Linked DNA regions of Pelodiscus sinensis. The protein of the gene in region 3 interacts with the protein of the main gene of each other region in a pairwise test. Links are inferred from orthologs where the notes say so. Each region holds a gene or a part of one and is shown on either strand. Other genes may lie near its edges. The genes, in order: VDR, RARA, SRC and ESR2.

Evidence for each region.
Region 1: the proteins of SRC (region 3) and VDR interact in a two-hybrid assay, tested with the Homo sapiens proteins (2 studies listed by BioGRID). The link is inferred for Pelodiscus sinensis from reciprocal best matches to the Homo sapiens genes SRC and VDR.
Region 2: the proteins of SRC (region 3) and RARA interact in a two-hybrid assay, tested with the Homo sapiens proteins (2 studies listed by BioGRID). The link is inferred for Pelodiscus sinensis from reciprocal best matches to the Homo sapiens genes SRC and RARA.
Region 4: the proteins of SRC (region 3) and ESR2 interact in a two-hybrid assay, tested with the Homo sapiens proteins (2 studies listed by BioGRID). The link is inferred for Pelodiscus sinensis from reciprocal best matches to the Homo sapiens genes SRC and ESR2.

Annotation. Positions count from the first base shown.
Region 1 is NC_134729.1:79,114-86,426, forward strand, and holds the start of VDR (vitamin D3 receptor), read left to right. Parts: upstream 1-4,256; 5' UTR 4,257-4,360; intron 4,361-7,313.
Region 2 is NC_134739.1:10,843,815-10,851,338, reverse strand, and holds the start of RARA (retinoic acid receptor alpha), read left to right. Parts: upstream 1-4,445; 5' UTR 4,446-4,550; intron 4,551-7,524. UniProt on the Homo sapiens protein: Receptor for retinoic acid. Retinoic acid receptors bind as heterodimers to their target response elements in response to their ligands, all-trans or 9-cis retinoic acid, and regulate gene expression in various biological processes.
Region 3 is NC_134728.1:24,429,219-24,436,420, forward strand, and holds the start of SRC (proto-oncogene tyrosine-protein kinase Src), read right to left. Parts: upstream 3,077-7,202; 5' UTR 2,570-3,076; intron 1-2,569. UniProt on the Homo sapiens protein: Non-receptor protein tyrosine kinase which is activated following engagement of many different classes of cellular receptors including immune response receptors, integrins and other adhesion receptors, receptor protein tyrosine kinases, G protein-coupled receptors as well as cytokine receptors.
Region 4 is NC_134714.1:15,611,055-15,618,343, reverse strand, and holds the start of ESR2 (estrogen receptor beta), read left to right. Parts: upstream 1-4,253; 5' UTR 4,254-4,315; intron 4,316-7,289.

The DNA.
Region 1 (7,313 bases), on a different chromosome or scaffold from region 3:
ACTCACTCTGCAGGGCACAGTGGTCTCTCCACAGTCAATGCACCGCTGCGGAGGATTTCATTCACCCCTAAACCAAAGCCAGGCAGCCAGGCTCTGCTTCGCCAGGCGTACAAAGCCCAATCCCAGGCCTGCACTGCACCAGGAAGATTTGCTATGTCAGGTGGGAGTGTAAAAAATTCACCCCCCCTCGCTGATATACCAGTGCAGCCAAACCCTCGGCATAGACACAACTATGCCAGCGGAAGAGCTCTGACGTCACCTTGCCTCACATTATCCTTGGGATACGTTAGCAGATGCTGCAGCTACACCAGAGGGCTAGGCCCGCAGAGGCTCTGGAGTGTAGACACGGCCCCCAGGAAAGTCAAGGGGATCTGGGCAATAAATACCCTTTTCTCCATAGTTCGCCTCTCGTGTAGTCATTCTGCTGTTATCCTCTTGTGGTATTCGGTGTTTTGCATTAAGCCCCTGCTCCTGGAGTCATGGGATTATGTGAGTATCTCGCCTCTCACTGAAAATGGGGAAGTACATTTCTAGCTCGTATGTCCGGAGACAAAGGCCAACATAGGCGATCTCTAAAACCTCTAAGCCTAGTAAGCAAATAAAAGAATCTCCAATTTCTTAATTTACTTATAAGTTTTCTGATTTGTGAGCCAATTGTGCTATGTTTGGGAGAGGCTTGACGTGCAATTTCTGAACGTTTGGAGTCAGAGACACTAGTGCAGGGTGGCTGCAGATCGACACCACTTGGAGTCAGTAGCATTTTGCACAGCACTCTGGGCAAGGGAGAATCTGCCTGGCTGTATTTCCCCACACTGAGGCTGTGCAAAGTTGCTTGTGCCCCCAAAAGTCTGTCTTGCACAATGATAACCAGTGTTCACCCCAGCTGACTGCACAGTTCTGCACATTTTGATTGCCTTTATGATTTATTTTCCTGATCGGCACCATTAAACCAATTTAGATACGTTTAGCAAAACATTTTTCCAAGGCAAATTAAGGCTGTTGAACTTACTGTTTATGGTTCATAGGTTCATAGGGGTGATTTTTTTCTTCTTGTGCTGATGTGTTAGACGCCTCCACTTTCTCTCCTGATGTAGGTTTGTTTTCCCAACAGGCAGTCAGGGCCATAAAACCAATTTCTCCTGGGGATCAGGGGCCGAAAGATGTGAGAGACATTCAGCCAGCCCAAATTTTTCAACCACATTTTTTTCAGTAAAAAATTCAGATTCGGCAGTACCAAAACATTTTGCAAATTTGTACCATTTTCGCATCATTGTTCGTTTTGAAAAAATCCCCAACCCTCACCCCCAAAATTCCAAAGGTTATTGTTTTCATATTTTGAAAACAAAAAGTTTTGATCTTTACAGTTGAAAAGACTTTTCATTTAGAAATTTCCTTTAATTTAAAAAAAATGTAAGAAAAATATAAATTAAAAAACTTTTTTCTGACTTTTTGATTGGCTGAAAATTTTTTAAAAAAAGGTTTTCAATTCAGTCTGAACTCCCTCCCCCCAAACTGAATTCCCGGCAAACTGAAAATCCATTATTTGGCCAGCTTAAATTCTGGCAACATTTAAATGGAGTTTCCTGCAAATCCCCTCCCAATTTTATACAAGGAGCTCCAACTCATAAATGCAAAGATTCCAAAGCCAGATGGGACCACTGTGATCATCCAGTCTGCCCTCTTTCACCAACCACACCACAGAACTTCTCCACACTAATTCTTTGAACAAATCATTCAGAACAATGTCAAACCTTGGTTGAAAACTTGCCAATCACAGGTGCTTTTGCAGAGACATGTCTGAAGAATGAAAACGAGGAAACACATTAAGGAATTTGAAATCTACAAATCCATAAATAACACTTTACAGATGTGTGTGATAGTCCCTGTTGTTTCCACATCTTGTGATATTACGTGTTTCCTGAAGTCCCGGCTCATGGAGTCTGGTGATTACACGAGACTTTCATTAGCAGGGGGGAAGTAAGTCTCTATCCCTCATGGTTACAGAGAAAATATCGAGTTCATATGCCATAAAGGCGCCAAATTCAGAAGGCCAATAAAAAGGACAGAAAATCTGCCTGCAGATGCATACTGGGTCCAAAGTCTCAGGTGTTGTAAACCAGGATGTTTTGGGGACTTAAACTGGTACTTAAGTATTGCATAAGCTTTGTGCTGGGTCGCTGCACTGGAGTGAGAGGAGGTCATTTTCCTAAGGCTCTGGAAGATGTCAGAAAAGTCCTCAGATAAGACGGAAGGACTGTCATCTCTCTGCCACATGGTAGCAGATCTTGGGCCCTTCATGACTGTTTCTCAGTGGAGGAGAAATCAGCGAAGCAGAGCCTGGGTATTTTCTCATGGTAGCTTGTTGATTCACACTATGTACCCCAGTCCTGGAACAGAGGGGGTCACAAACAGCAGGCAGATCTCTGTTGGAGATCTCAAACCAGCAATCAATACCTCCCTTCCAGGGAGCAACGGGTGCCCCTGTTTTTAAAAAGGAAAATGTCACCCCTATGTGGAGCTGGAGCAGGGACAGCACAGCGGTGACAGGACGGTGCATGCACAAGCCGACCGCAGCCTCCATTTCACTCGCCGCGGCAGTTTGAAAGCAGCCGGAAGCTCCAAGCCTCCTCAGGTCCGTCTACACTGCAACACTATTTCAGGATACCGGAGTATCCCAAAATTGCTATCCCGCGTCTTCACAGCAAGCCCGTTATTTCAGGCTCACTATTCCGACGTCCCTGCAAACCTCGTTCTACGAGGAGTAAGGGGTGCTTCGGAATAGCGCTGTATTTCGAAATTTGGTGCTGCGTAGACAGCGACAAATGATGAAATAAGCTACTTCAAAATAGCCTCGAGAGAAGATACACAATTTGCGTAACTCAAATCGCGTCGCTTATTTCGAGTTACGGTGCAGTGTAGACTCCCCCTCCTGCCCTGTGCAGGACTCCCTGCAGCCGCTGCTGGTATTTAAAAGGACTGGTGCAGCCCCGGACCCCCTTAAGTCCACTGGGCCCAGGGACAATTGGCCCCTTTTGTCCCCATCGACAGGCCAGACAGAGCTACTGCAAATCCAGATCCATCAAAACGAGCCATCCCTGCAGACAGCAAGCCGCAGAGGCAATTAAATGCTGGAACCACCTTACTGTATTTAAACAGATACAGGCAGGATTTGGAGACTGCTGCAACCCCCCAAGGCCCTGCCTTTGAAGGAAGCTTCATGAGAGCGCCCATTAGCACAGGAAGGCATGTTGGGGTTCTGCAGAGTCTCAGCAAGGAAATTCATGAAGTTGCTGGGCCAGTTTTTCTGCTGCCCTGCGTGGTGCCCAGGGCACTCGGAATGGCCGGATTGCACCTGGTGTAAAAGGGTGTGAGGTCTGGAGGTGGGAGGGGGCTGCAGAACAGCCATGCCTCTAGCAGGAGTCTAGCTGGTGGTTGCTGAGCTGCCCAGGGCAGGAATTTTGTGTATTGTTTCCTTTCATTCCCATTCTTGGGCACTGGTGCCAACAGACGCAGGGCTGAGCCAGCCGGGGCAGCCGCGGGGGAGCGGAAAAGCTCTGCCGCTCGGACACTGGACCGAGACAGAACCACCCTGATCTAGAGTGGAATCAAGTGCAAAACTCCTCAGTGCTGGGGCCCCAGCACGGACCTTGTGGCCAGGAGCTGGTGCCATTTCCACGGCGGCTGTTCGGAGTTCCCAAACCCCTGCGCGTCTCCACGGCTCACTCCGACAAGTGCGCTGTTGGGAGCTGCCTCTCCAGCATGCCCGTCCCCAGGGCACCTGCCACGCTGGGCCACCGAGACAAGCGGCTGCTGGCTGGGAATGCAGCAGAGAACGGCCAGGCTTTCCCGGCTGTGCAGGGCTGGCAGAGGCTGGGGTGGCAGGGAGTCTGAGGGGAGGGGGCAGGCTGGGGGGCTGAGGGGAGGGGGACAGGTTGGGGGTCTGAGGGAAGGGGCTGGGGGGAGGGGGCAGGCAGGGGGCTGAGGGGAGGGGGACAGGTTGGGGGCTGAGGGGAGGGGGACAGGTTGGGGGTCTGAGGGAAGGGGCTGGGGGGGAGGAGGGGCAAGCTGGGGGGGGCAGTCCGAAGAGGGACGAAGTGAGGCGGCAGAGGACAAGCGGGGCAGGGGGCGGGGCTTTTCCCGGCTCCGGGTGAGGGCGGGGCAGGGGGCGGGGCTTTTCCCGGCTCCGGGTGGGGGCGGGGCGAGGGGCGGGGCTGTTCCCGGCTCCGGGTGGGGGCGGGGCGAGGGGCGGGGCTGTTCCCGGCTCCGGGTGGGGGCGGGGCGCCGGTCGCTTCCCGTCAAAAGGCGGGCGCGGGGCCGGGGGGGGGCCGGCGGGAGCAGGGGGCGCTCGTAGCACGTGCAGGTACCGGGCTGGTCTCCGGGGGCGCTCAGCTTCCCCCCCCCCGGGGCGCTGCCGGGCTCTGAGGGGCGCCCCCCCCCGGAGGGGAACGGGGGGGGGCGCTGCCGGGCTCTGAGGGGCGCCCCCCCCCGGAGGGGAACGGGGGGGGGCGCTGCCGGGCTCTGAGGGGCGCCCCCCCGGAGGGGAATGGGGGGGGCGCTGCCGGGCTCTGAGGGGCGCCCCCCCGGAGGGGAATGGGGGGGGCGCTGCCGGGCTCTGAGGGGCGCCCCCCCGGAGGGGAATGGGGGGGGGCGCTGCCGGGCTCTGAGGGGCGCCCCCCCCGGAGGGGAATGGGGGGGGCGCTGCCGGGCTCTGAGGGGCGCCCCCCCCGGAGGGGAATGGGGGGGGCGCTGCCGGGCTCTGAGGGGCGCCCCCCCGGAGGGGAATGGGGGGGGGCGCTGCCGGGCTCTGAGGGGCGCCCCCCCGGAGGGGAATGGGGGGGGGCGCTGCCGGGCTCTGAGGGGCGCCCCCCCGGAGGGGAATGGGGGGGGCGCTGCCGGGCTCTGAGGGGCGCCCCCCCCGGAGGGGAATGGGGGGGGCGCTGCCGGGCTCTGAGGGGCGCCCCCCCCGGAGGGGAATGGGGGGGGCGCTGCCGGGCTCTGAGGGGCGCCCCCCCCGGAGGGGAAGGGGGGGCGCTGCCGGGCTCTGAGGGGCCCCCCCGGAGGGGAAGGGGGGGGGCGCTGCCGGGCTCTGAGGGGCCCCCCCGGAGGGGAAGGGGGGGGGCGCTGCCGGGCTCTGAGGGGCCCCCCCGGAGGGGAAGGGGGGTGCTCCCTTTCTCGGGGCAGAGTGAGGGGTTGTCGGGGGGGGCCCCTGGCGTTAGCCCTGCCCAGCGCGGGTGCGGGCTGGGGCGAGGACTGGGGGGTTGATTCCCCCCTTCCCCATGTCCAACCCCCCCCAGTTCCCGTCCAGCCCCGGGCCGGAGCGCTCCTGTGCTGTCCAGGGACTGGCTGTAGCGACTGGCGCCCTTATTCCTCTTTCTGTCGGGGCTTGTCGTGCGCTCCTGTTGCTTTGTCCATGTCTCTCTGGGGCCCGGGGCCCGGATTAAATGCCGGATTCCTCCTGTGGTTGTATAGAAGGACTCGCTTCCTGGTGCCTTAAACTTTTACCTTGCAGCCACATAGCAATGCAAACTGCCTTGCTGTCAACCCCTGGGCTTTGTGCTTCTGTGAAGAGCCGATTTCGAGCCTCTCCACCCCGATACATTAGCTGTGTTGGGGGGTTTTAAGTCGAATCTCTATACAATTTCTGCCCATCTCTCTGCTGTCTCTGTTTTTTCATTCCCAGTGGCGGGATCTGCAGCCCATTCCCACTTAATCTAAGAATGTCAGATCAGTTTAATGAGATGTTTTGGGGATTGCAAGTTGTACAAGTGTTGTGAAAAACCAGACCCCTCGGCTACCTGGCAGCAAGATAGATACCTGCTGTGTTTGGTGTTTGATTATTATGTGGCTGTCCATAATATTTTGGTCACTAAGTCATCTGGATACTGAATGACCAAAATATTATGGATAACGAATGAGCATGTTAAAACAAGTCTTAAGGCTGCTTTCTCAGTACCTCTCTGTGTGTGACTTTGCTACTTGTCATAGCTATTTTGTTTATAGTTTTCCAGTCGGCTCACAATCCACAAGTTATTTCGTCTGAGCCAATTGAATGAATGTGCCGGTTAAGACTTCGTGAGGCACAGTATAGAATGCCTCCAGTTCCAATAGACTCTACACTTGTAGTGACTTGTTTCACTATATTCCTAATGATAAAAAATTTGCCTTACTGCAATATAATTGCCAAGGTTTTTTTCCCTCTTTTGTGAGGGATAAGCTCCCTTGTGCATAACCTTCTCCTCAACTGTGCCCCCCGGGTTGGGTCTAGGACATGGGTGAAAGGTTAAGGCATCTCTGGACCCCACTTTGACAGGATAGAGTAACTGGAGGGATCATTTTCTTTTTTGGGAAGGGGGAATGAGCATGCTGGGTTAGGAGGAGAAGCTTCTGCTTGGGGCAAAGATGCGAGGTATAAAAGGAAGACTGGTGTCTTCTGCAGTGTGGCTTTCTAGCCTTTGGAGGGCTGATGTAGTAACAGCATAATGCTGGCGTCTGGCACTTCCGAAAGTCAAGTAAGGTTCCATAGAAGCCAGTTTCCATGAAAACCCCTCTAAAGCTTGTTTCCTTTCATGACTTGCTCTCCTCCCACATTAGATGAGACCAGTGACTCATGTTCCTTTCTGGGCTCAGTATAAGAGGCTGTAGCATGTTCCAGAGCATATGTCTTTCCTTCTGAAGGGAACTTGGTTCTGCGTTCAGCTTTAGTATGGAGTCTGCAAACACAGGCACTCCTCTCTTGCATCTGCAGTACAGTAGGTCAGAGCTGGGTCAGTAGGCTGTCTGGCAAGAGCACTTAGTATCTGGCAGGATGGGACAAAGGCTTTAATAACTGCTTTTAAACCAGTCCAGTCACTAAAGAACCTTTAACCCATCAGACATAGAGTAATTATGTAAAGCTTAGTCATTTTACTCCCCTCCCCCCCCCCCTTTTAAAGCCTCTTTCCTCCACAATACTGGGCGTTTATAAACTAGCTTTGAGTTGAAGTTTTTGCTGTGAGTTTAAAGTGCTCATGCTATGAGGCAGACTTTCTCATTCAGATAGGACGGTTTTTCTGAAATATGTACGCAAACTTGAAATGCACCAAAGTTCAGGCTAATCTTGTTATGAGAGAGTTAAGAGTTCTGATTGCTCAGAGCTGAATGACTTTAACCAAATGCACTAGAGACTTGAGCAGTGTGTTTTAATCATGACTAGAGAGCATACAATTTTGGCTGGCTAGGGCACTACACCCAAATCTTGTGTACAGGGAGCTACAGTAGACTGTACAATCTGTGCTTTCATCATTTTCAATTTAAGTTGCCTCATCACCATATGG
Region 2 (7,524 bases), on a different chromosome or scaffold from region 3:
TCACCTCCCTCTGCTTTGGGTTTCAATTGGATTCTACTCTTTGATTCTACCCTGCTTTTTATCCGGGAGGAGTAACCCTCTTGAGAGATGAGGATGCAGCTGCCCTTGAAGCAAGCTTCCTCCAGCAGGGGGCGCTCCTGTAGCACCGTGAACCCTGCGGCTCTTGCAGGGACCAAGTTTGCGGAAGTTGGAGGAAGCCGCCTTGCGTGTGTGAGGCCAGCCAGTGTGGGGATCCAGGGCCACCCCTTCTTCAATCTATTTTTAAATGAAAAAGTTGCCTTTCCGGGTTGAAAACGACTTGGGGGTCTGCACCAAGTGTGATCAGTTTTAATGACCCTTCTGTGAGAATGTAGCAAAGACTAAGATGTGGGCCAATGCAGTGAATGCTTGGCATCTGTTATGTCCTTAACTTCTCTCTCCTCCCATGGCTCCTAGGTTAGAGCTGCCCTTGGACGGCAGGAGGTCTGTTCCGAAAGGCAAGTGCAAGGACATACCTCCACTGCGAGGCAGACTCAGCTGTATTTACAGGTTGGGAACCTATGATGTAAATAGATATTAAAGTCCTCTCTCTCTCTCTGACGTGTGGTGCTCTCTGACCAGCTTGACAGGTCCTTCCGCCTATCTTCCCCTGCTGCAGAGACATGACTACATTCTCTGCAGCTCATGTAACAACGTTCAAATATCTAAAAGGTACTACAAGGGGTGGGCTTAAAATCGTGCAAGGGGGGTTGAGTTCGGACATTAGGAAGTTTTTCCTACCTGGCAGAGAGGTTAAGCCCTGGAATAAATTGCCTAGGGAGGTTATGGAATCTCCATCATTGATTTATAACGGCAGGTTGTCACAAGCCAGGGGGTGAACTCGGATTCTCCACACCCACCACCGAGAGGGGTGAGTTCCTGCCCCTTGCGTGGCCAATGCGGCATGTGGAATAATCTCTAAATAACGTCTCTAAAGCCTGCTATCTGTGCAGCTGCACAAGCAACCCAGCTTCCTGGCTATGGGAACTCATCTAGCCACGTGCTACAGCGCATGCGTGGCACGGCTGACTTAGCCTAGGCATTAGCCTTCGCTGTCCCAGGTGAAGGCAGAGAGGGCAGGGGCCCAGAAGTTGAGTAAATGCAGGAGCCCTGTTCACCTGGCTCTGCTGTACTCCCCGCTCAGATTGCTGGGGGGGAGGGGCATACAGACAGCTACTTTCTCTTGTGGGGCTGGCGCCTACCTAGCTGTCACCCCTGTGCACAAAGCCAGTGGTCAAAGAGTTAATGGGCTGCTGGGGAAGATGAGCTGTGACCTAATACGAGGCAGGCTCAAGAACAGATGGGAGCCTTGATTTAAATTCCATTTTGCTGGCTGCTGAACCCTTGAGAGAGTTGTTCCTCCAGCTACCGCCTGGGCTGGGTCCAGTGCCAGCCGGGCTGAACTATTAGCACATTTTCCAAGATGCTGGCAGGGAGAAGGGGTCAGCCAGAGCCTCTATCACGGATACAGCCTTGTGGGCTGCTATTTCCTTGCCCTCCACAGCGCCCAGGGCTGCTTTGCTGCGCTGGCAAGCTGAAAGCAGATTTATTTTTAACCACCCCTGCTGCAGCCTCCCAGTAGGATCAGAGACTCGCTCCGCATCCTCTGCTGTCACGGCTGGTTGCTACCCAGGGCTAGAGAAGGCTCCAGCGCGCTTTCCCCTAGCGGGAAGGGCGCTTGCGGGACTCTGGGGCATGACTGCTCTCAGAAGAGGCAACAGCGCCTTACCACCTCCGATAGTTCCCGTCAGGCTGCACAGGGGGTGGTGCCCAGGTGCCATCAGATCTGTGTTGGCCTCATGGAGGGAATGGGGCCAGGATCAAACCCTTTGCATGGCGATTAAAGCCCAGTATGATCTGGCCTTCAACAGGCAGGCTGCAATCCCCTTGAGCAAGGACTTTGCTGCTGTTATGCTTCAAGGCTAGAGCTAGGCTCTTCCAGAGCAGGCCTGCACCTGTCAGCTGCCCCTGGGAGCAAGACGCCACGCCTCCACTACCACCAACACAGCTGCCTCTTTGCTTGCTCGCTCTCCCCAGGGAAGGCCAGGGAAGGGCAGAGGCCTGGCACTCATAGGGGCTGGCCCCACAGTCCAGGGGCCAGGCTGCAAGGCCCTGTGCTGGGTTTGAAGCTACTCAGGGGAAAGGAACTGGGAGGCAGAGACTGTCTGGGGAGGAATACGGGGCTGCTCACCTGCTGCTTGCCCCCTGCCTTGGGCTGGCAAAGTGCAGAGGCAGGAATCCAGACTGGATCTAGGGCCCAGCCTCAGTCATGCCTCTCAGCAGGCCCCGCTGCTGCCTGTCTGGGTGCAAAGTGGTCCCAGCCATTTGAATCAATTGTCCTCAGGGGGCTCACATCCCTCTGCCAGCCAGAATCTGAGCTGTCCTGCTATGTGGCTGTGACGGTGTGCTGGGGTCCCCCGTCTCCTGCACCCCCAAATGGCACGAACAGACTCCCCCAGCCAGTAGAATGGAGGTAGTTTATTGCTTCTCCAGGATACAGCACAGCACAGATGTCATCTGGTTACAGGAACTGGGGCTAAGAGGCCTCAGTGCCCCCCTTGAGATGGGGGAGTCCCAGCCCCCTCCCCAGCTCCTTCTCCCCTGCTTTCCAGACAGGAACTAACCACCTCTCCTCCAGCCCTGCCCCCAGCCAGGGCAGCATCCACCTTCCTTTGTTTCTCCCCATGGGGGGTGGCTGGTCAGACCAGTTTGGAGCCACCTTTGCATAATGACTCCCCCCTTCCCTGCTGGGTCTTGCTACAGACAGCAGAGGTCGCCCCAGCCCCAGCAAGTTACCCCCACTACCTCACAGTGGCATAGCCCCTGTACTGCCGCTGGCTCGTGGAGAGGGGAGGCTCTGGCTGGGCAGGGCAGTGCGGGTTGGCCCTGCCACAGGAGGGATGCTCTAGAAAAGCAGCGAGTCTGGCCCTGTGGTTGGACTTGGTCCCGCCTTGGCCTGGAGCACAGAGCTGCTGGCCCCTTTTCTCCCAGACAATGGCTGGCTGTAGGCAAAGGCCAGATCTGCGGTGCCTACGCAGGGCCCTGGGCCTAGCTTCACACAGCAGCGGGCTGCGCCCTGGCACTAGACCTCCCTTTGTGTTTTACAGGCGCTAATTGGGTCTGAATCAGGCGAGGCTGCTTTGATCTCTCAGCCATTTCCCACAAAACCCTCATCAGCGATTTCTAATGAGGGGGCCCCACCATCTCCTCTAGGCCTCTTCCACCCCCCATCCCTGCTTGTTAGGCACCGGCCCTGCTTGGCAATGCCGCTGGGGGACAGGCACTCCAGCGTGACACCAGGCTGGGTGCCAGGGAGTGTCGAGGGGTGCCCCCTTCCGGCCTGGCCACAGAGCACCCCTCTCCAGTGGGACTAGAACCCAGGCCCCTCGCAGGGTGCGGGCACAGCCTGTGCTACCTGCTGCCCTTTGGCCAGGGTTGGAATCCTGCTAACAATGCCCCTGAACCGGTTCAACCTGTCCGGTTGCGTCTGGAGAGTCCCAGGAGTCAGGGTGTTACTGCTGAGGCCTGGGGCCCAGTCCCATTTGGGTCATGACACTCTGAGTCCCACGCACCCTTCCTGCGCGCCTGGCGGCCGCACGCTGACTCTGTTCCGCCCCAGAGGTGGCTGCAGTACAGCAGCTGGCCCAAGATCCTTGTGCTTAGGGTGGAGCTGTGCAGCTTAGCAGCCTGGGCACCGGGAGCTGGCCTGCAGCCGTTTGCGGGACCGGTGGCGTGGTTGGCAGCGCGCTTTGGGCAGCGGAAGGAGCGAGAACCGCCCCCCCTCCCAGTGATGCCTTTGTCTGAGCAGGGCCACGGCCCCAAGCCGGGATGGGTGGCCTGCAGCTCCAGGGGATTCTCACCACCCTTTGGGCTGTCCTGTCATTTCCGGCGGGTTTGATTCCTGGCAGCAGCATCCGCGGTGCTCCAGGACAATTGCCGGGCCAGTGAAGTGAGGGAAAGCACCGGGCCGGCAGCCCAAGGGGAGGCCTTTGCTCCGTCCCTCCCAAGCACCCTGCCGCGCAGGGTCCAGGGTGGGGCGGCCGGGGGCTGGCTCGGAGCAGAAGCGTTTTAGGGAAACTTCCCTGCGAGTAGTTGTGGCATGAAACCCGCTGAAGTGCCAGTAAAACCCACCTCCCCCCTGCCCCCCCACACTTGGGGCAGCCAGCTTGGGAACATGCTGGGCCCCCAGGAGCCACCCCACGGGCGGAGAGGGGGCGGGAACGGGCTGGAAACAGGGGAAGAAGGGGGGGGTTGGTTTGGCTTCTTTAGCACCCGAAAGGCCCCGAGCCGGGTGGGGCCCAGGACTGCACGGGAGCCCCCCCCCCCCCCGGTCCGCGTGCACCGAGCGCGCTTGGCCGCAAGGCCCCCGCTGTGCTAGGGCGGCGCGGAGCCGGGCGGGCGCTAGGACCGGGCGCGGCCGGGCTCCTGTTGCAGCTGCAGACGGTGCTCACCCTCCCCCGGCAGCAGGGGAATCCTGGCTGCCGCTTTGCAGGGCTTCCCCCGGCCCCCGGCCCGGCCCCGCGCTCCGCCAGGTAAGAGCGGCCCCTGCCCCCTCCCGTGCAAATGCGCCACCAGATCCGCGCGGGCGGGGCGCCCTGCTGCGCCCCCCGGGGCACCCCCAGCCTGGCCGCGCTGGGGCAGCTGCTGCGGCGCCCCTGAGCCGTGCACGGGGGGGTTCGGACAGTGCCCCCCCCAGGCTGGGTTTGTCCCTGGGGGGGCCTTGTCCCTGCCCCCCCCGCCCCCCCGGCGCGGTGCAGACTCCCTGGCGTGCAGCGAGTTGCAAAGTGCAGCCGCGGGGAAGGGGAAGTGGGCGAGGCTGGGGCGAGCCGGCGGCCGGGCTGGGAGGCGGCCTTGGCTCCCCATGGGGAAGGGCTTCGGGGGGGAGCGGACCCGCCGAGGGCCCGGGCAGAGCGGGGCCTGGCTGCCGAGCCGGAGCACGAGCTGCTGGGAACTTTCCCCAAGTCCTGGGTCTCTCCAGGCCTGTGCCCAGCCCTGCGGGGGAGACATGAAAGGCAGGGACAGAGCCCTGGAGCCGAGGGATGTTAGTCACAGCTGGATCTGCCCCCCCCCCGCCCCCCCATGCCCTGTTTGGGCAGCTGAGCTTCCTGCTCCGAGCTGAGCCCAGCGCTGGGGCCACTTGCATCAGTCTCGCCAATGCGTGTAAAGACCCGCCTGCCCCCACTCCCAGAGGTGGCTGCATTTCGGCCAGTGACTCCTTGTGTGAGCTGGGGGAGGGGGGTTTCTCTCTGTGCCTCAGTTTCCCCAGTTTAATGGAGGATGTTTGCTGCAAAATCTGGAAGGCTTGACCTGGGAAGTGGGTAGTTCTACGGGGGGGGGGGGGGGGAATTTTCCCATTCGTTCAAAGAGCCCAAATAGGTTTTTCTGGGCAAGAAAAGGGATCAAACCCGCCTGGAAGAAAACTGCCCCGATCTGTGTGCCAAGGCCTCAGTGCGCTGCCCCCGGCCGGGGAGCCAGGCCGGCCCCGATCCTGCCGGGGTGGTGCCCGCGCAGGCCTGGTGTGCAGCAGGGAGCAGCTCCGTGCCTTGCTCGCTGTCGGGTGTTGTGGAATCCAGCGCTGGGCCGGGAAGCTGGCAGATTCCGATGGCGGCGGCTGGGCTCTGACCATGGAGCAAGTAGAAGGGGGCTGGTGAGACGTGGCCAGGGCCAGTTTTCGGGGTCCCCGGCACAGACGCCCAGCGGGGGGGAGTCGGGCCGCAGGCTCTGGTCTGTGTCAGAGGACGTCTGGCCAGGGAACGAGACTGACTGACTGTTCGCTAGTTGCATGGCTGCTGCTCCCAGGGCTGGGGGTCTGCTTGTGGCCCAAGCCCTTGGCAAGGGGCGGATGAGTTTGTCCCCTGCCAGGTTTTACAAAGAGAGGGGGCATTGCTTCAGTGTTCCGCATGGGGAAACTGAGGCAGGGGGCAGCGTGGACTTGCCTCAGATTACGCAGCCAGTCCCTGAAGGGACTGGAAACAGCCCAGGAGTCCTGACTCCAGTTGCATCCTGTCCAGCAGCCACCGGTGTGTTTCTCTGGCCCATGTCTACCCGCCGCAGCCCCCCGGCCTGCCGACAGGACTGGGGATCCGCTAGCACCTGCTCTGAAGGGATCTGTGCCCTGGGTGCCCTGCCAGGAGTTGCCAGCTGCTGTGCGCGCACCTGGGGCTGGGTCTCAGAGAGGCCTGGGCTGGGCAGCCAGCTGAGGCAGGTGGGGGGCTGGGTGCCTGCTGCCATCTCTGCCCTGTGATGCCCACCTGAGGACAGACGTCTCACGCCCCAGGGACCAGGCCTCGGGTCGGGGTGCAGCACTGGGTGCGGCTGGGGAGCACCTGGAGGTCCCCCCCATTTGGTGGGGGGAGGTTGCTGTGCTTGACGTGCAGCCTCCCAGCTCCCTGGCTGTCAGTTGTGGGATCTCCCCCCCCCCCCCCCCGCTCCCGTGTAATTATCTCGCGGCTCCGCAGGCTGCCGAGCGAATGTAGGTCATGCAGATGGGTGAGTCCTGCATTTCCATCAATTAGAGCGTGCAGGGGGACGGGGAGGCGTGCCACAGCCGCCCGGTGCGCCAAGGGGGGCTCAGGGCTGGCACCGGCCAATGCTTCTCGCCCACCCAAGGCTCCGACCCCATCTCTCCCTCCTGCGGCAGGGCTGGCTGGCTGGGGAGCCTGGGGGTAGCACGCAATGCGGGGGACCCTACCCAGCCATCTGGGGGCTAGCACCCTCCATGGGCTGACAGGACTGGGGTGGGGGTGCTGGCCACAGCTCAACAGCCCCCTCCTGGCTGGGCTAAGTACGAAGGGGGGGTTTGATCAGTTTTCGGGGTGGGGCAGGAGCATCTTCTGCCAAGACTTTAATTTGATCAGAGCTGGGAATGAGGATGCCAGCCAGTTTCAGGGGAGGAGGGCAGTGGGGGTCTAGTGGTTAGAGGGGGCTGGGAGCCAGGACTCTTCAGCCAGTGGCTCCTTGTGTGAGCTGGGGGTTCTCTTTTTGCCCCTTTCTGTGCCTCAGTTTCCCCAGCTGTTTAATGGGCAATTGGGAGAACGGCTTTGAGATCCTTGGCGAGGCTGCTAGAGGGAGTGCCATCTGTCTGGCAGGGTCGATCTGCCTGGCTGCCACCCCTCCCCATGGCAGCATAGGGGCCTGGTCTGGAAGCACAAACCTGCCAACAGCCTGCAAGGGGGGTCTCCTGAAAGTGCCCCCTGGCTCTGTCCCAGCATACCCAGTCCTGGTGCCCCTCGGTCCCGACCTGCAACCCCTGCTTCTCTTTCTTCCCCCTCAACCCTCTGGTACGATCTGCAGCAGTCAGGGTGGGGGCAGGAGGACTCGATTAGATTTGTGGGGGCTGGGGGGTGGGGCCTGTTAAAGCGGGGGGTGGGAGCTGGGAGTCAGGATGCCTGGGTTCTATTCCCAGCTCTGCCCTGGACTCGCTGCATGGTGCTGGGCGAATCGCTGTTCTGTGCCTCAGTTTCCCCACATGTAAGGAGGGAAATAACCTTGCTGTCATGGGGGTGG
Region 3 (7,202 bases):
TATAAATGGCTTTCCAATACAGTATTTGAAAATAATTTAACACAAACAATACACTTTGGTTACTTCTATACCGAGAAAGTGGTAAGTGGTTTCCTCCAATGGCACTGACCACCGTGAACGCTGTGGTGTAGACAGGATGCAGACACCTAACCATCGTGTCCTCTCATTTTGCTCGCAGAGCAGCTTCAAGACATGCCCGCTTTCTGTCCATACTACAGTTTCCTCTCCTGCAAACACCGGGGTGAGTGTGTGAAGGGGGAGGAGGGGGGCACCAACAAACACCGAATGCTTTCTCCATGCAGACAAAGTTTTAGACAACTTGACAACCTGTGACAAGTGCTGTATTCCTGGTGTGGATCAGGTTTGTTATCACCACCACCCGCAGCAATTTATAAATGGCACAAAGAAGTCCTTCACCCACAACCAGCAGGGTTAAAACCATAGACACCTCAGCCTGGCCCCTACCCCCTACCCTGAAGCCTGGCATGATAGGGAGCATTCAGAAAGCTAGCACTTGCTGGCAGCAAACAGGCCTGGCCAAAAAGAAACCCTCAACCCCTCCAGGTGAGCATTGTGCCCCATAAACCAAGAGCAGCTACCTGGAAACCTTTACCAGGGAGGTGTTATAGTCAAGGATGACCTAAAATACCCTTAACAGTCTGTGGGATCACCCTGGTATTGAGCTGTTCTGTGGAACAGGTAAAATAGTTAGCCTTTGCCACCTCTTTTGGAGGAAAGACCGTATATACATGTTCACCCTCTCCCTCTCCTCCTTCCCCCACTCCCCCCACTGACCATCTGGGTTTTTTACAAACTATAGACTATTGGGTGGTTGTTCCTAGTCTATACGAATACAAAGAGACTGTGTGAGATAATTCTGGGTTCCAATGCAGCCTATTTCCTAAGGGCATTCAGTCACTACAGTAATGGCTGCAGGCCCAGAAACTAACAATATGGGCTTCTAAAGCCCTAGGTTTTATAAAAATGGAAACTGATTTAGGAGGGCTTCATATCTGTTGGTGCTTCAGTAAGTACCAGTGTTCCCTGTAAGCTGAGTGCTTGGGTGGCTGCCCAGGAGAGATCCAAATGCCACCCAGCTGATTAGTAGAGTGCCCCCAGCTATCCAAAGATAGTGTGTGTTTCTATTGGTGGTACACATCTGCACTTGGTACATAACAAAATTTATTCTGCCCACTGATGGAAAAAATTAGAGGAAACATTAGTAAATACTTATAGCAACAGAACCCCAACAAAGCTAGGGAGGTAAGTCATTGTGCAGGTACTCTGACATAAGAGAAGGGAAGGAGCAAGGGAATCAAGGGACAAGACAGCCATCTCATTCATTTTTTGTAGAAAGCCATATAGAAGTTTGCTGGCAAACACCACACAGTACCAGGAACATCCAGCAGAAGAGGCACCCTAAGCCTTCCTGGTGCCAAGATGTATTAAGCACATCCTGACTATCCCTGCCGCTGGGCTTACTCACACATCTCCCAGCAGGTTACAAATGAATGAATCAAGATCATAAAATTCTTAGTGTCTCAGAATGATCACAGAGCATGTGCACCACCCACGCCCCATGTTCCCAGGATAGCTAGGGAGTAAAACAACAACAAAAGCCCATTGAAGTTTGTCAGCTCAGACCCCAGGTGTTTGGCTTCAGAAGAACGAGGAAGGACTCTGTGTAGCTCAAAAGCTTGTCTCTTTCACCAACATTAGTTGTTCCAATGCAAAATATTACCTCAGCCTCTTTGTGTACCTAGAACTACAGTATTTTGCCTGACAGCTCCCGATTACTACAGATATGGCACAGATTCTAAGAGGCACAGTGTTACTTTTTTTTGTATCGATGTTCTATCGATATTCTGATCAGGCAGCAGAAGTTACAGAGCGGTTAATGAATCGTTTTCCAGTCTTTAAATCATAAACACTAAATAAAACAGGACCAGGTTGGGGAGGGAGGAAGAGGGAGGAGCAGCGATTCTCTTACACTGCACGACGTGATGTAAACACACAACCCCCCACAGAGCAGCTACGTCGTTGTTTTGTTTTAAATGAATATTTAACAAATAGTAAAAGGGAACTGGCTCAGAAGACATCAAAGCAGCGGAGTGATTAATATTTCATATTTTGGCCTACATATAGCTCCTCCCCCCCTCCTCGTTTCCCCGACTGGTTTGAATAAATGAACTATAGAAAGTCTTCGGCTAGACAGAGCTGCCCCACCGTTTCAGGCAGCCCCGCACAAGAGAAGAAAGTGCGGGGCTCGGAACAAGTCCCGCACCCCGAGCTCCCCCGCCGCCGCCTCGCCAGCCCTAGCAGACAATACCTTTAGCCCGGAGCTCCTCGGCTAATTCAGGCTGCGGCTCCGGGAGGCTCCCGGCTGCCACACGCAGGAGCAGCCGCTGCCGTCGGGCGGAGCAGTGTAAACCCTCCATTGGGGGCGACAGCCCCAGCAGGCACCCACCGCCCCCAGGCAGGGAGATGCCAAAGCGCCGGGGCAGCCCCCCGGGGCTGGTCGGTGCCCCCGAGCGTATCACCAGCCCCAGCGCGCCGGGCGGTCTCTTACCTTCCCTCCCCGCGGAAAAGCACCGGGGCCGGATGGCTCCTTCGGGCAGCTCCTTTCTCCCCGGCGGCTCGCAGCTCCCGCAGCTACACGCCTCGCCCGCAGCCCGGTGAGACGCCCTGGCCCAGCGGCAGGGGGCCGGACAGCTGCGAGGCGGACACGCGGCTCATGGCCGAGTCCCGGGCGTTCCCAGACACAAAACCCGGCTCCGGCTTTGTCTCTGGCGGGGGGCGGGGAGGAATTAACCCCTCGGCTGCTCGCTCCCCCAGCCCCTGCCCGGCTGCCGCGCTAGCGAATGGCTGGGGACTCGGAGCCGTGATGTCAGCAGCGGTGCACGCCCGCCTGCGGCGGAGACACCTTCTCCCCGCCGTGATTCATGCCGCTGGGTTGAGCATCGGGGCCAGGCAAGGCCGGCGCAGGATCGCCCCCTCCCGCCCTGCCTCCAGGTGCCTGGGCGGCGCCGGCCCGCCCCCTCCTCTCTGCTGCTCCCCGCGCCGCGAATGGGATCCTCGCTTCTTAGCGATTTGCCAGGGCTCCCCCTCCCCCAACGCCCCCCCAAAGGGGGAATATGGCAGCAAACCGGAAACAGATGAAGGGAAAAGAACCAGCCCCCCCCCCCCCCGTTTGAGATCCCCCCCCCCCAGTTTCTTTTTAATAAGGAAAAAGGGCTCCGGGCGCGCAGCCAGCTGGAAACTGGCGTAGTCCGGAGCGAAGCGCCGACGTTTGCAAGACAGGGCTGGACGTCGCTTCGCTCGACGCGGCTCCGGTACCCAGCCCCCGGGGCCGCTAGATGGGTGGCGGGGCTGGAGCTGCAGAGGCTGGAGGCGACGCATAGAGCAGCTGCCTCTGCTGGCCATCCCGAGCTGGAGGGAAATCCCGGGCTTGCTGCTGGCTTCCCGGGGCCCCCAGAGTGGAATTATTGTGGCTTGTTTATTGTGCGATCTAAGCAACCCGGAGACCCCGTCATGGAGCTGGGCAAAAGGACTGTTCCCTGCCCCAAAGAGCGTCCCATAATCTGGGCAGTGCCAGGCTAGGCAGGCAGGATTCCGGTGGGGTTGCCCATGGGCTTGCTCTAAGTAGCCTCCCAGAGCACAAATAAAAGCTGTGTTTAAAAAGAATCTAGTCTGTTTGCAGATGAGTCTCCACCACTCCCTAAGGTGTCTAAGGGCTCCCCAGTGATCACTCACTGAGCTAATCCTGTGTCCTAAAATGTGGGATATTCCTGGCCTTTTCCCCAGCACTCTTCCCCCTAGTACCTGAGCCCATCAGAAGCATTAATGAGAAGGCCTGGAATTCATACAACTCCTCAAACAAGGTTAGGACTAGAGACAATCCTTTGAAAGTTAAGGGTTTGTGATTTAAAGAGAGAAGACTGATGAGAGAGGGGAAATGAGACAGTGACTTTGTCCAAGGTCACACAGAAGAGCTGGGACTGGAACTCTTGACTTCCAGTGCTACTGATGTTTAGGGCCCTACCAGATTCAGGGATAGGAAAAACATGTCTGACTATGACTGTGTATGCTTTTATCCTATGCTATATAGATTTCACTGGGGGAGACCAGCAGTTCTCAAATTGTGGGTCTTAACCCAAAAGGAAGCCCCAGGGTGTGTATGTGCAAAGTTATTTTAGGGGGAATTGTTGTACAGATTGGACCTCCCTGGTTTGGCACCCCTGGGACCTGACTGGTCCACAATGAAGGATTTTGCCCCCCTGCTGCCACCCCTCTTACACTGTTCCCCCGGGCTTTCTGGCTCTCCCTGCAGCCCTGCTGAGCTGCATGCTGGGCTTCCCAGCTCTTCCACACCCAGTCCAGCTGGGCTGTCATTGCCACCCCCACCCACAGTGTGCCTGTCTTCTACATCCCCTCCCCCCGCAGTGGACCCAGATTCTTTGATCTTCCAGACCAAGGAAGTTGCCATACCAGAGAGTTCTGGTTTTTATAGAGGTGCAACCTGAATTGTCACCCAGACTTCTGAGCTGCCTTAGGGTTAGGGTGAAATTTTAGATTTAAATAGCTGAAATAACAAAATGTATTATTTTTAAAATCCTGTGACCATGAAATTGACCCCAAATAGACCATTCATTTGGTAGGGCCCTAATTATGTATTTACTAGTTCAAGATGCCTCTCCTGAGAGGGCCTCAGCTACCTGGTCCCCAAAAAGGTGCATGAGTCAGTGGAGGTTCTGCGTCAGTTTTTACATTTGTATTCCCAGTTGTATCTGTTCTTTTTCTCAGAAGCTCTATGGATAAATGGAGAACAAACTAGATGATGATATCCCATAAAAATGGAACCCGATTAATGGAAAAGGAAAGTGATTTTCATGTAATCTATTTTATTTTTATTTTTTTTGCATTGGGGTCATTTTTATTGTTTAACTCTGACACCCAAAAAAAAAACAGTTGGAAGAAAAACTATTTTGTTACTTACTCCAGCCCTTTCAGTTGCCTGAGAGAGATCTAAACCCATGTCTGAATCCTCCAAGAAAGGAGGGAAAACTTCTTAAGTTGATGCGCCTGATATTTCTAAAGTGAAAAAACCCCTCCCCTCTAGAAACTAGAACAGTCCTCTGCAACCTTTTTAAGCATGAGATCACTTTTTGAATTTAAGTGCAATCCAAGATCTACCTCAAACCCAAATACTCTTGTCCCTCCTCCTTTGTGCTCCTTCTCCAAGGCCCCACCCTTGCTCACTCCATCCTCCCTCCTACCCCGTCCTTCCTCACTTTCACCAGGCAGGGCAAGAGGGTTGGGGCACAGGTTCTGGTCTTGGGCTAAGGGATTTGGAGTGTGAGAGGGGCTCTGAGCTCAGCCTGGGACAGGGAGTTGGAATGCAGGAGGGGGTTCTGGGCTCAGGCTTTGTAAAGGAGTCTGGAGCCAAGGGGCTCAGGACTAGGGCAGGAGATTGGGGTGCAGGAGGGGGGTTCATGACTGGGGCAGGGGTTCAGAGCTGTCTCCAGCTGGGCACTGCTTACCTCGGGTGGCTCCTGGGTGGCGGTGCAGTGGGGCTAAGGCAGGCTCACCCCTGCCCTGGCCCTGCACCACTCCCAAAACAGCTAGCAAACTCCCTCCCAAGTCCTGTTGTGCCCCCTCTCTGCTCTTTGGAGATAGGATACAGGCTGGGAGAGGGGGCACCTTGACATCAGCGCCACTCTTCTCCCTCTCCTGACCTGCAAAGCAAGCAGGAGGCTCCCAGGGGTGGGGGAGGCAGTTCCAAGGCAAAGGGCAAGAGATATGCAGCAGTAGGGGGAGGAGTAGCTGAAGTGCCGGCACTTGACAGCCTCTTGGCCTAACCAGTCAGGATCACCTGTCAGAGGCTCCAAGATCTACCAGTAGATCCAGATCTACTGGTTGGTGACCACTGAACTAGAATCCAGAACCAAACAACCTGTCAGGCTTTCGTTACGCATCATAGAGAAGTGGAAAAGAATACCAGCCTTAATTGGATGTTGTTTTGCAGCTACCTTTAAGATAACAAGGGAATCTCTTCTAGACCCAACATGTTTGAAGCAGTAGTAATCACATATATCTGAGTGATATCTAAGATAGGATAATAAGTTTAATAGTCTGTAAGTCTCACTCTGTGTCTAATTCATTCTCTGTCCCCACTCACCTGGAATCAGGATTTAAAGAACTTGGAGCACTCATCCTATCCCAAGAGGCTATGGTCCATCACTACAAGGCTGAGCTATCCTTGGGAAGCCACGGGGGGAGGAGGGAAGGAATCATAAATTGCTCCATACCCAAATTCACAGGATTGAGTAAAAACTGAGACTGCATTCGCCTCTCCACCCACATGGCCACTTCCGGTCAAACTTTAGGAGCGTTGGTAAATCCCTGGTGGGAAAGACCCCTGCAGTCACTCAAACCAACTTCCTCTTGGCTCAGGAGAAATGAAGCCAGGGAGAAGCACTTAATAGATCAATATGAGGAAGCACAGGGCTGAATATACAGACAGAAGTGGAAATGAAATAGGGTTCCATCCACATAGCTCAGTAGTCAGTACCTTTTTCTCTTTTTCATGCACTGGGATCTCTCCAAAGAGGGACATTTTCCGGCATCCCACCTCAACCATTAATGGGCACTGATTTATAGATGCACATTTGGCCAGCAGAAGGTATCGGCAAGCCAAAATGTGGACACCTCAAACTATTATTTCCATGGACTCCGAGAAAGATTATTTAGATTGACAGAGGAAGAGTCCACGTTCCTCTAGTTCTAGACAGAAGAACCTGGAAGAACAGGTCAGGAGAGTGAGCTCTTTTCTGCTAACTTGTCCTTGTGACTCACTTCCAACCTGGACATACTGTTATGGATCTTGAGAGCTCTGAATACAAGAACTAACATCACTCTTACCGTATATACCTACTTCACTGAGCATATGTCTGCTGCATGAGTATCTATACAGAGATAACCCCTCCTTCACCTGTCTCAACAATCCTTCCCTGTCATATTATATCCAAGGAAGAAAATGGGCCCATTACTTAAGCCCCCAAACACCTGTAGCTTTTCTATGACCTATTAAATCACAGGCTGACAGCACGGACTGTCTGTACTTCTACAGCAAACAGCATCTCATGCCAGGAAATCCCATGGAACTCTGTGGTGGTTTGATTTTCAAACTCATGTTACTTCAG
Region 4 (7,289 bases), on a different chromosome or scaffold from region 3:
TCTCTAGCTTCTTGCGTTGGTTCTCTGTTCCTTTTGGCTCTCTGAGCACTGCCAGTCTGCTGCTCAACACAGGGTCTGCGCTCCTTGAGCTGTGTGTGTCTGGCTCTGTTGCTGCAAAAACTGCCCCTCAGCACACAGCTTGCTCTCCCTGGGCTGTCTCTCAGCTCCCTGTTTTTGCAGGACTTCTTCTGCACACAGCTTGCACTCCTTGGGCAGTAGCTAAGCTCTCTGTTTGCTCAGAGAGAGCCAGAACAATCCCAGCTCACAGGGAGGATGGGGCCTGGCCTCCCCCCTTCCTCACTGGCCTGTCCAACCTGTCAATCAGGCTGAGCTGGAGTGTTGGCTGCTTTCCATTGTCTCTGGGGTCTGTCAGTCTCATGAACTTTTCCCCTTCTGAAACTGGGAGCTGACAAACCAAAAAACTCCCACAGAGTTTTAGTAAGGGGTAACAGGTCCCTTACACTTGGTTCATTCAGTGAAATACCTACATTTGCTGAGCACTACCGGTGTTAGCAACTAAGATTAGCAAGTAGTATGAAGCAAAGGGAGGGGTAACTGCCCCACTCCAATGGTGCCCCTGCCTCCACTCTTAATGCAGCAGTCTTGTTTAAGATCCTGCTGCAGATGGCCCTACTGGCTTGACTATGATTTGTGATCTGGCTTATGATGGGTGTTCTTGACAAACTTGCAGGTAAATGCAATATCATGCATACAGGGAAGACAGCAAATTACTAAAATCTGTGCAAGACTTGTCTTATGTAACTAAACTTTTTACCAATTACAGCAGTGAAAACGGTTGTTTCTTTTTAGTCCAACATTTTTAAAAACAGACCACTTAAAGGCCAAGTTGTTTTAAGTGTTTGTATTGATCAAAGAACAAAACTCAACTGCTTCAATTGTTATAGATACTTTGAAAATCATTCAGTCACTTCAGGCAGCTTTGTAATTCACTTCTCTTTCCTCTTGTTCTCACAATAGCAGTATTATCTGTATCTTGACCTTTCCTTTTCTAGTCTGAATAAGATTGAAACATCCCTTCTTGCTCAGTAGGGCAGTTTTATTTAAGCACATTAGTTGTACAGTAAAAAAGAGACCTATTTGGCAACCTTGGATTGAGTACAATCATTGACATTTATAGAAATGCTATTGATGAAGACAGACATTCACTTGGTCACACCCATTCCCACACCAAATTATTTTATCCATGACTACTGCAAATAGGCAGTAACTTCATACCTCCACTCTCTGCTCCCTTCCCACACAAACTCTCTCGTCCAGATGCTTACAAAAACATAACTAAAAAGAACATTTTTGTTGCTCTGTGAAGAACACTTAATAATATACATTAATAAACTTGTGTCTTCCGTGATGCCTACAAAAGAAAATATTCAAGGTCTATCTGAGCAGTGAGCATGGCAGGACATATTTCGCAACAGTCATACAATTATCTCTATAGATTCCCACTCAACGATTCACGTGCCCAGATTTGAAGGTCCTGGCGTTTAAAGCAGTATTGACCATTGCCAAGCATTTTAAATAGTAAGTCTTGTGCTTTGGTAGCACAATTTTTATTAAATGTTTAGCAGTGGTATTATGCCCATCTTTGACATCAGGAGCTATACATTTTTAATTTCCTAGATGATTGACTCTTGGATTACTCATGCTCTCTAGGGCACCTATTATTTCATTTGGGCTCTGGATTTAAGCATAAATGAAATTGTATCTATTTTCTAGTCTATTCAGGATTTGACTTTTATTAGGACTATCCTGGATTTCTGGAATGGATTTACCTTTCTCCTTTAACGCCATATTGTGGAGCTGCAGAAAATGGTTCATGAGTTAAGGAATCACCTGTCTTCTCTTGCTCAGGTACACTGTCAAAAGGTCTTTGCCAACTTGGTAGGAGGCCTCTGTAATTTATCTAAATTCCCAGGCCCACCCTGGACTTCACAGCCTCATTGTGACATGGTATAATCCAGACTCTGGTGTGTCTAGACTACAGGGTTTTTTAGAAAAAAGTACCCTTTTTTTGAAAACAAACAAACAAAAAAAACCAACCTGCACCTGCGTCTAGACTGCAGCTGCGTTCTTTCGAAAGTAAATAGAAAGAACGTGGCAGTTTTTCCGATTGCAGTAAACCTCATTTTATGAGGAATATGCCTTTTTTCAAAAGTACTCTTTCGAAAAAAGGCGCTATTTAATGCAAACTGTACTTTTTTGAAAGAGAGCCTCTAGACTCGCTTTTCCAAAAAATCTGTTTGTAGTCTAGACGCTCTCTTTCGAAAGAGGCTTGTAGTCTAGACGTAGCCTCAGTAAAATATTGAACTGGTGGGTTCCTTTCCCAGAATATTTTCAGCCTTCACCAATTCACACAGCAGGTGCTGCAGTTGCATTCAATTTAGATCAACAGATGATATGGGGGGGGGGGACGCCAGCTAAAGGAGAGGGGGCCCATGCCCTCCCCACACAACACTTCTCCACTCCAGCCCAGGGCCCCTGCTCTCTCCTCATCACCCCACCCCATGTTGTCCGGGGTGGGGGCTCAGTCCCCTACGCTGGCTTCCCACAGCATGTTTGGCTGCTCTCCTGGGTGTAGTAGCAGGGGGCTGCCTCCCACCCAAGGTTGGCTTTTGGAACCAGTGGCTCAGTGAGTTGAGGAGGAGGAGAGCGGGGGGTAAAGGAGTGGCCTCTGGCTTGCTTGGCCACTGTCCCCACAAACTGAGCAAGGGTGGCAGCCTGATGTTGCTGTAGCCAGGCACTCTCCCAGTCAGTTGGGATGCTGCACCAGACAGTAGCTTTCTGGAAGAGGTTCTGGCTCCACCTCTTCCCTTTCAGCTCTAGTCCCGTTCCTTCCTCTTCTCTCCACACCCCCGGCTATGTCTACACAGCTTCCCTCTTCTGCAAAAGTCTATGCAAATGAAGTGTGGATTAGCATATTGCCATGCTTCATTTGCATAATTAATTAGGAGCCGTTTTTGTGCAAGAGGTTTTTGCACAAAAAGGCACTATCTACACAGTGCCTTTTTGCGCAAAAATCCCCTCTTGTACAAGAGCCGTTCTTCCTCATTTTTTCAGGAAGAATGGCTCTTGCACAAAAACCTTGTGCAAAAACGGCTCCTAATTATCTATGCAAATGAAGCATGACAATATGCTAATCCACACTTCATTTGCATAGGCTTTTGCGGAAGAGGAAAGCTGTGTGATATAGCCCTAGATTTGGTTTTGTTACCTATTTGGGGAGAGCAAGCATTCAGTATGGCTAAGTGAGATTACTCCCTGCAGTTGTGCTTTAATAGGTGATGGCCTTAAGTGAACAACTGCAGAAGCAATTTCGTAATAGAGAATGGAAGAGTATTTGCCGTTAACTAGGGTTCTCAAAATCCTAGTTTCTGCAGATCCACACTGACCCCTTCTTCTTCCCTTCTTTTGAGTTTCTTTTACTGTAAAAAGTTGGTGAGGAACTGAGAATCATTAGAAGTCCCTTTTTTAATGGAGGACATCATGTTAGTTCAGAGCAGCTGTACCCCCATTGGCTATACTGTTCTCAATGTTTCTGGGACTTGCTTGCATTATATCTTTATTGACATTAATTTAGAACATATTCTCCATCGTGTACTTTATTAACAAGGGGAACATACAGTCCAGTGTTACGTCTCTTCTCACTTCATTGTCTCAGCATTCTTAGATAGCTGGTAAATGCTGGCTTCGGCAGCTGTAAATGCTGTTATAATTATGCCATTCCATGCATATATAACTTCAATTTTAAATCTTCTACAGTATTTATAAGTAAAATATATTCATTTCAAGGCAGTCTTCTAATTTATATTAAAGAAATTGTTATATTAGAAGAATGATACCTCTTTTTCTCTCATGTAACCTTATATTTCTCGTTGCTTGTGTTTCTGGTTGCTTACCTGGTGTGTCTTTATTCCAACTAGTTATTTAGTACAATAAGTCCTTAATGCAAACAGCAGTCATATGGGACTCAAGGTTTGTAGTTACTATCTCCAGAATTATAGGTTTGGTTCCCAGCTGAGATTATAAATGCTGATCTTTTAAAATACAGTTCACAAAGAGATGTATTTTAATGCTACTCTTAATAGTTATTTAGGATATATGGTGCCTGTAGTATTGCAGCTGTAGTGTTGTAAAAGGCTCTTACAGAAATGCACACATGCCACACCATTTCCTGCCAGGTGCTCATTGTTAAATAGGGAGCTGTGGTTTATTAGCAGCAGTTTTCTTTTGCAGCAGTCTGACACTCTAGCTCCAGGGTGGGCAATAGTTTTTGCAGGGGGCCACTCCACGAGCTTTGGTAAGTCATCATGGGCCACACATTTCTACTATTTGAGTTTGGGTGTAAGAAGGAGCTCTGGGACGCCACTGGGGTGCAGGGGAGATAATGTGACGTGTAGGGAGGAGTTTGAGTGCAGGAGGGAGCTTGGGGCTGGTGCACAGTGCTGGGGTGCAGGAAAGGTTAAGGCATCTGGGTTCTGGGAGGGTGTTTGGGTGCAGAAGGGGCACTCTGATCTGGGGTAAGGGGTTAGGGTGTGGCACAGGCTATGGCCAGGAGGCACTTTGCACAGGCAGCTCCTGTCCCACGGTACAGTGGGGTACTCAGGCTACCCCAGAAGCTGCTGTTGCCATGTTTCTGTGTGCCCCTTGAGGAAAGAGAGGCAGTGGACCTCTGAGCACTGCTCCTTCCCCCCAACACTGTCCTCATAGCTCTCATTGGCTGGAAATCAGCCAATGGGAACTATGGGGACAGTGCTTGTGGGCATGGGCAATGCACGGAAATCCGCTGTCTCACTGTCCCCAAGAGGCATGAAGAGAGAGACCAGCAGTAACTGGCTGCTTTTAGGGCCATGGCAGGCAGGCAGCCTGCCTGAGTACTCCTCTGAGCCACGGGCCGTATTTTGTCTACTCATGCACTAGCTGCATCTCAGGGCCCAGATTCACACTTGGCTACTGCAGAGGAAGGTAGAGCTGTAAGGGGCTCATTACCTCATCAGACCTGAACGTAGGCCTTTGGCTGTGGGAGGTGGGGTAAGGGTGGGTGTGCTGCTTGTGAGCCTCGCGGTGGGCAGAGTGGGGAATTATGCCTGAGCCCTGCTTCTGAGACTGACTGGCTGTGGCACAGGGGAAGCACTGTGACACCCTAAGGCAGTGGTCCCCAACCTTTTGGGGTGCCGGGCGGTGCACGCGCCGCGCGCCCGGGGGCGGGGCCGTGCACGCACCGCGCGCCGGAGGCAGGGCCGTGCACCCGCCGCGTGCCTGGGGGTGGGGTCGCCCATGCGCCGTGCGTCCGGGCACTTGGCGGGCACACATAAATACCCGGGCGGGCACCTGCAGGCACTGCATTGGGGACCACTGCCTTAAGGGGACTCTGGCAGCAGTGCGTGTGCTGCTGGCAGGGTGCAGAGCACTCATTGTGAGCTCTGTGCGTGACTCCCCAGTGGTGCAGGCAAGAACTGGCAAGGCGGCTAAGGGCAGGACATGCTGGGCCACGTGGCCCTGAGCGAAGACGCTGGACGACCTCATGGCACCCCAGGAAATCAACACATAGCCAGCCCCAATCAAGGGATAGGACTGTGGTACCCATGGGATTTGAATCTTCCTCAGCACTGAGGAGTGGAACTCTCAGGGGATGGGAGGCTGCCAGGAGCAAGTGCCTCTGGGGCAACTCAAGCAGTGGCAGGGCAGGGATGGTGAAGGCCACTGTGGTAGTTGTCGTACTGATACCCTCTCTCTCCAGGGAGCCTGCTCCAGGCAGGCCTGGGTCTGTGCGCTGGGGAAGGGAGATTGGGTGGCTCCTCAGCACAAGCACCTCAGTCCCCACAGACTAGTCTGTGCTTGCTCTAGATGCATGGGCATGGAACTGGTGAGGCCTCGTCTCGGAGCACTGGCGGGGGACAAGTGGGCCCCCCCCCCCTTAGCCCTTCAGAGAGCTGGAGAGGGGGAAGACTAGTGAGTCCCCCCTCAACCATTTGGAGAGCTGGAGGGAACTGGTAAAGCCCCCTGTCAGCATGTTTGAGAAGCAGAGAGGAGGAAACCAGTACTTGAGAGAGCTGGGGAGGGAAAAGGCAGTGAGGCTCCCCCACCCCTCCCCTTGGAGAGCCAGGAGAGGGAAGCTGGTAAGGGCCCCCTCCCTGACCCATGTAGAGAGTGGTGATGGTGGACCTGTGAGGCCCCTCTCCTCAGCCTGTTTGAGAGCCTGGGGAACCAGTGAGGTTCCCCATTAGGGCTTCAGTGTACGGGAGGAGGGGGACTGGTGCCTCAGCTCTTCAGAGAGCCAAGGAGAGGGAAATTAGTAAGGTCCCACTTCAGCCCTTCGGAAAGCTAGAGGGGGGTATGGATGCAGCCCACTCTCAGCTCATCAGAGCGGGCTGGGAGGAGGGAAACCAGTGAGGCCTTCTCTCAGCCCTTCAGAGACCGGGGGGCTTAAGTCCCCCCTAAGCCTCTTGGAGAGGCGAGTGGAACTAGTTGAGGCCTTTCAATCCTTCAGAGAGCTGGGAGAGGGAACCAATGAGGGCTCCTCAGCCATTCTGAGAGCTGACGGTGGGGTGCGAGGGTGTGTGTGGATGGTGAGGCTCCCCACAACACCCCAGAGAGCTGTGGGGAACTGAGGAAACCCCTCTCAGCCCTTTGAAGAGCCATGGGGGAGAACGGGTAAGACTCCCCTGCCCCTCAGAGCTGGGGAGCAGGGAACTGGTGAGCCCCCATCCCTTCCAAGAGCTGGGCGGGGGAAATGAGTGAGACTACCTCAGAGAGCTGGGGGGTGGGCACACCTCCCCCTCAGCCCTTGGACAACACGGGGGGAGGGGCGGAAGAGGGGGAAATCAGGTGAGGCTCTCCCTGTCCTTCTGAGAGCTGCGGGAAACAAGTGAGGCCCCAGTGCTTCAGAGAGCCAGGGAGCAGAAATTGATGAGGCCCCTCAAGATTCTCTCAGAGCCAGGGGGGCAATGGGTGAGGCCTGCCCCATAACCCTTCACGGTGCCAGGGTAGGGAAGCTGGTGAGAGTCAGCTCCTCAGAGAGCTGGAGAGGACTGGTGAAACCACTCCTCAGCACCTTGGAGAGCCAGAAGGGACCAGTGAGGCCTCCACCCAGCCACTCAGAGAGTCGGGGGTAGGGTGGGGTGGGAACTAGTGACACTCGCAGCCCTTCTGAGATCTGGAGGGGGGAAATGGGTGAGGTCAACCCTCAGCTCTTCGTAGAATGGAGGGACATGGAATTGGTGAGCCTCCCTCCCTCGGCCCCTCAGAGACCTGGTGGTGGGAACTGATAAGCC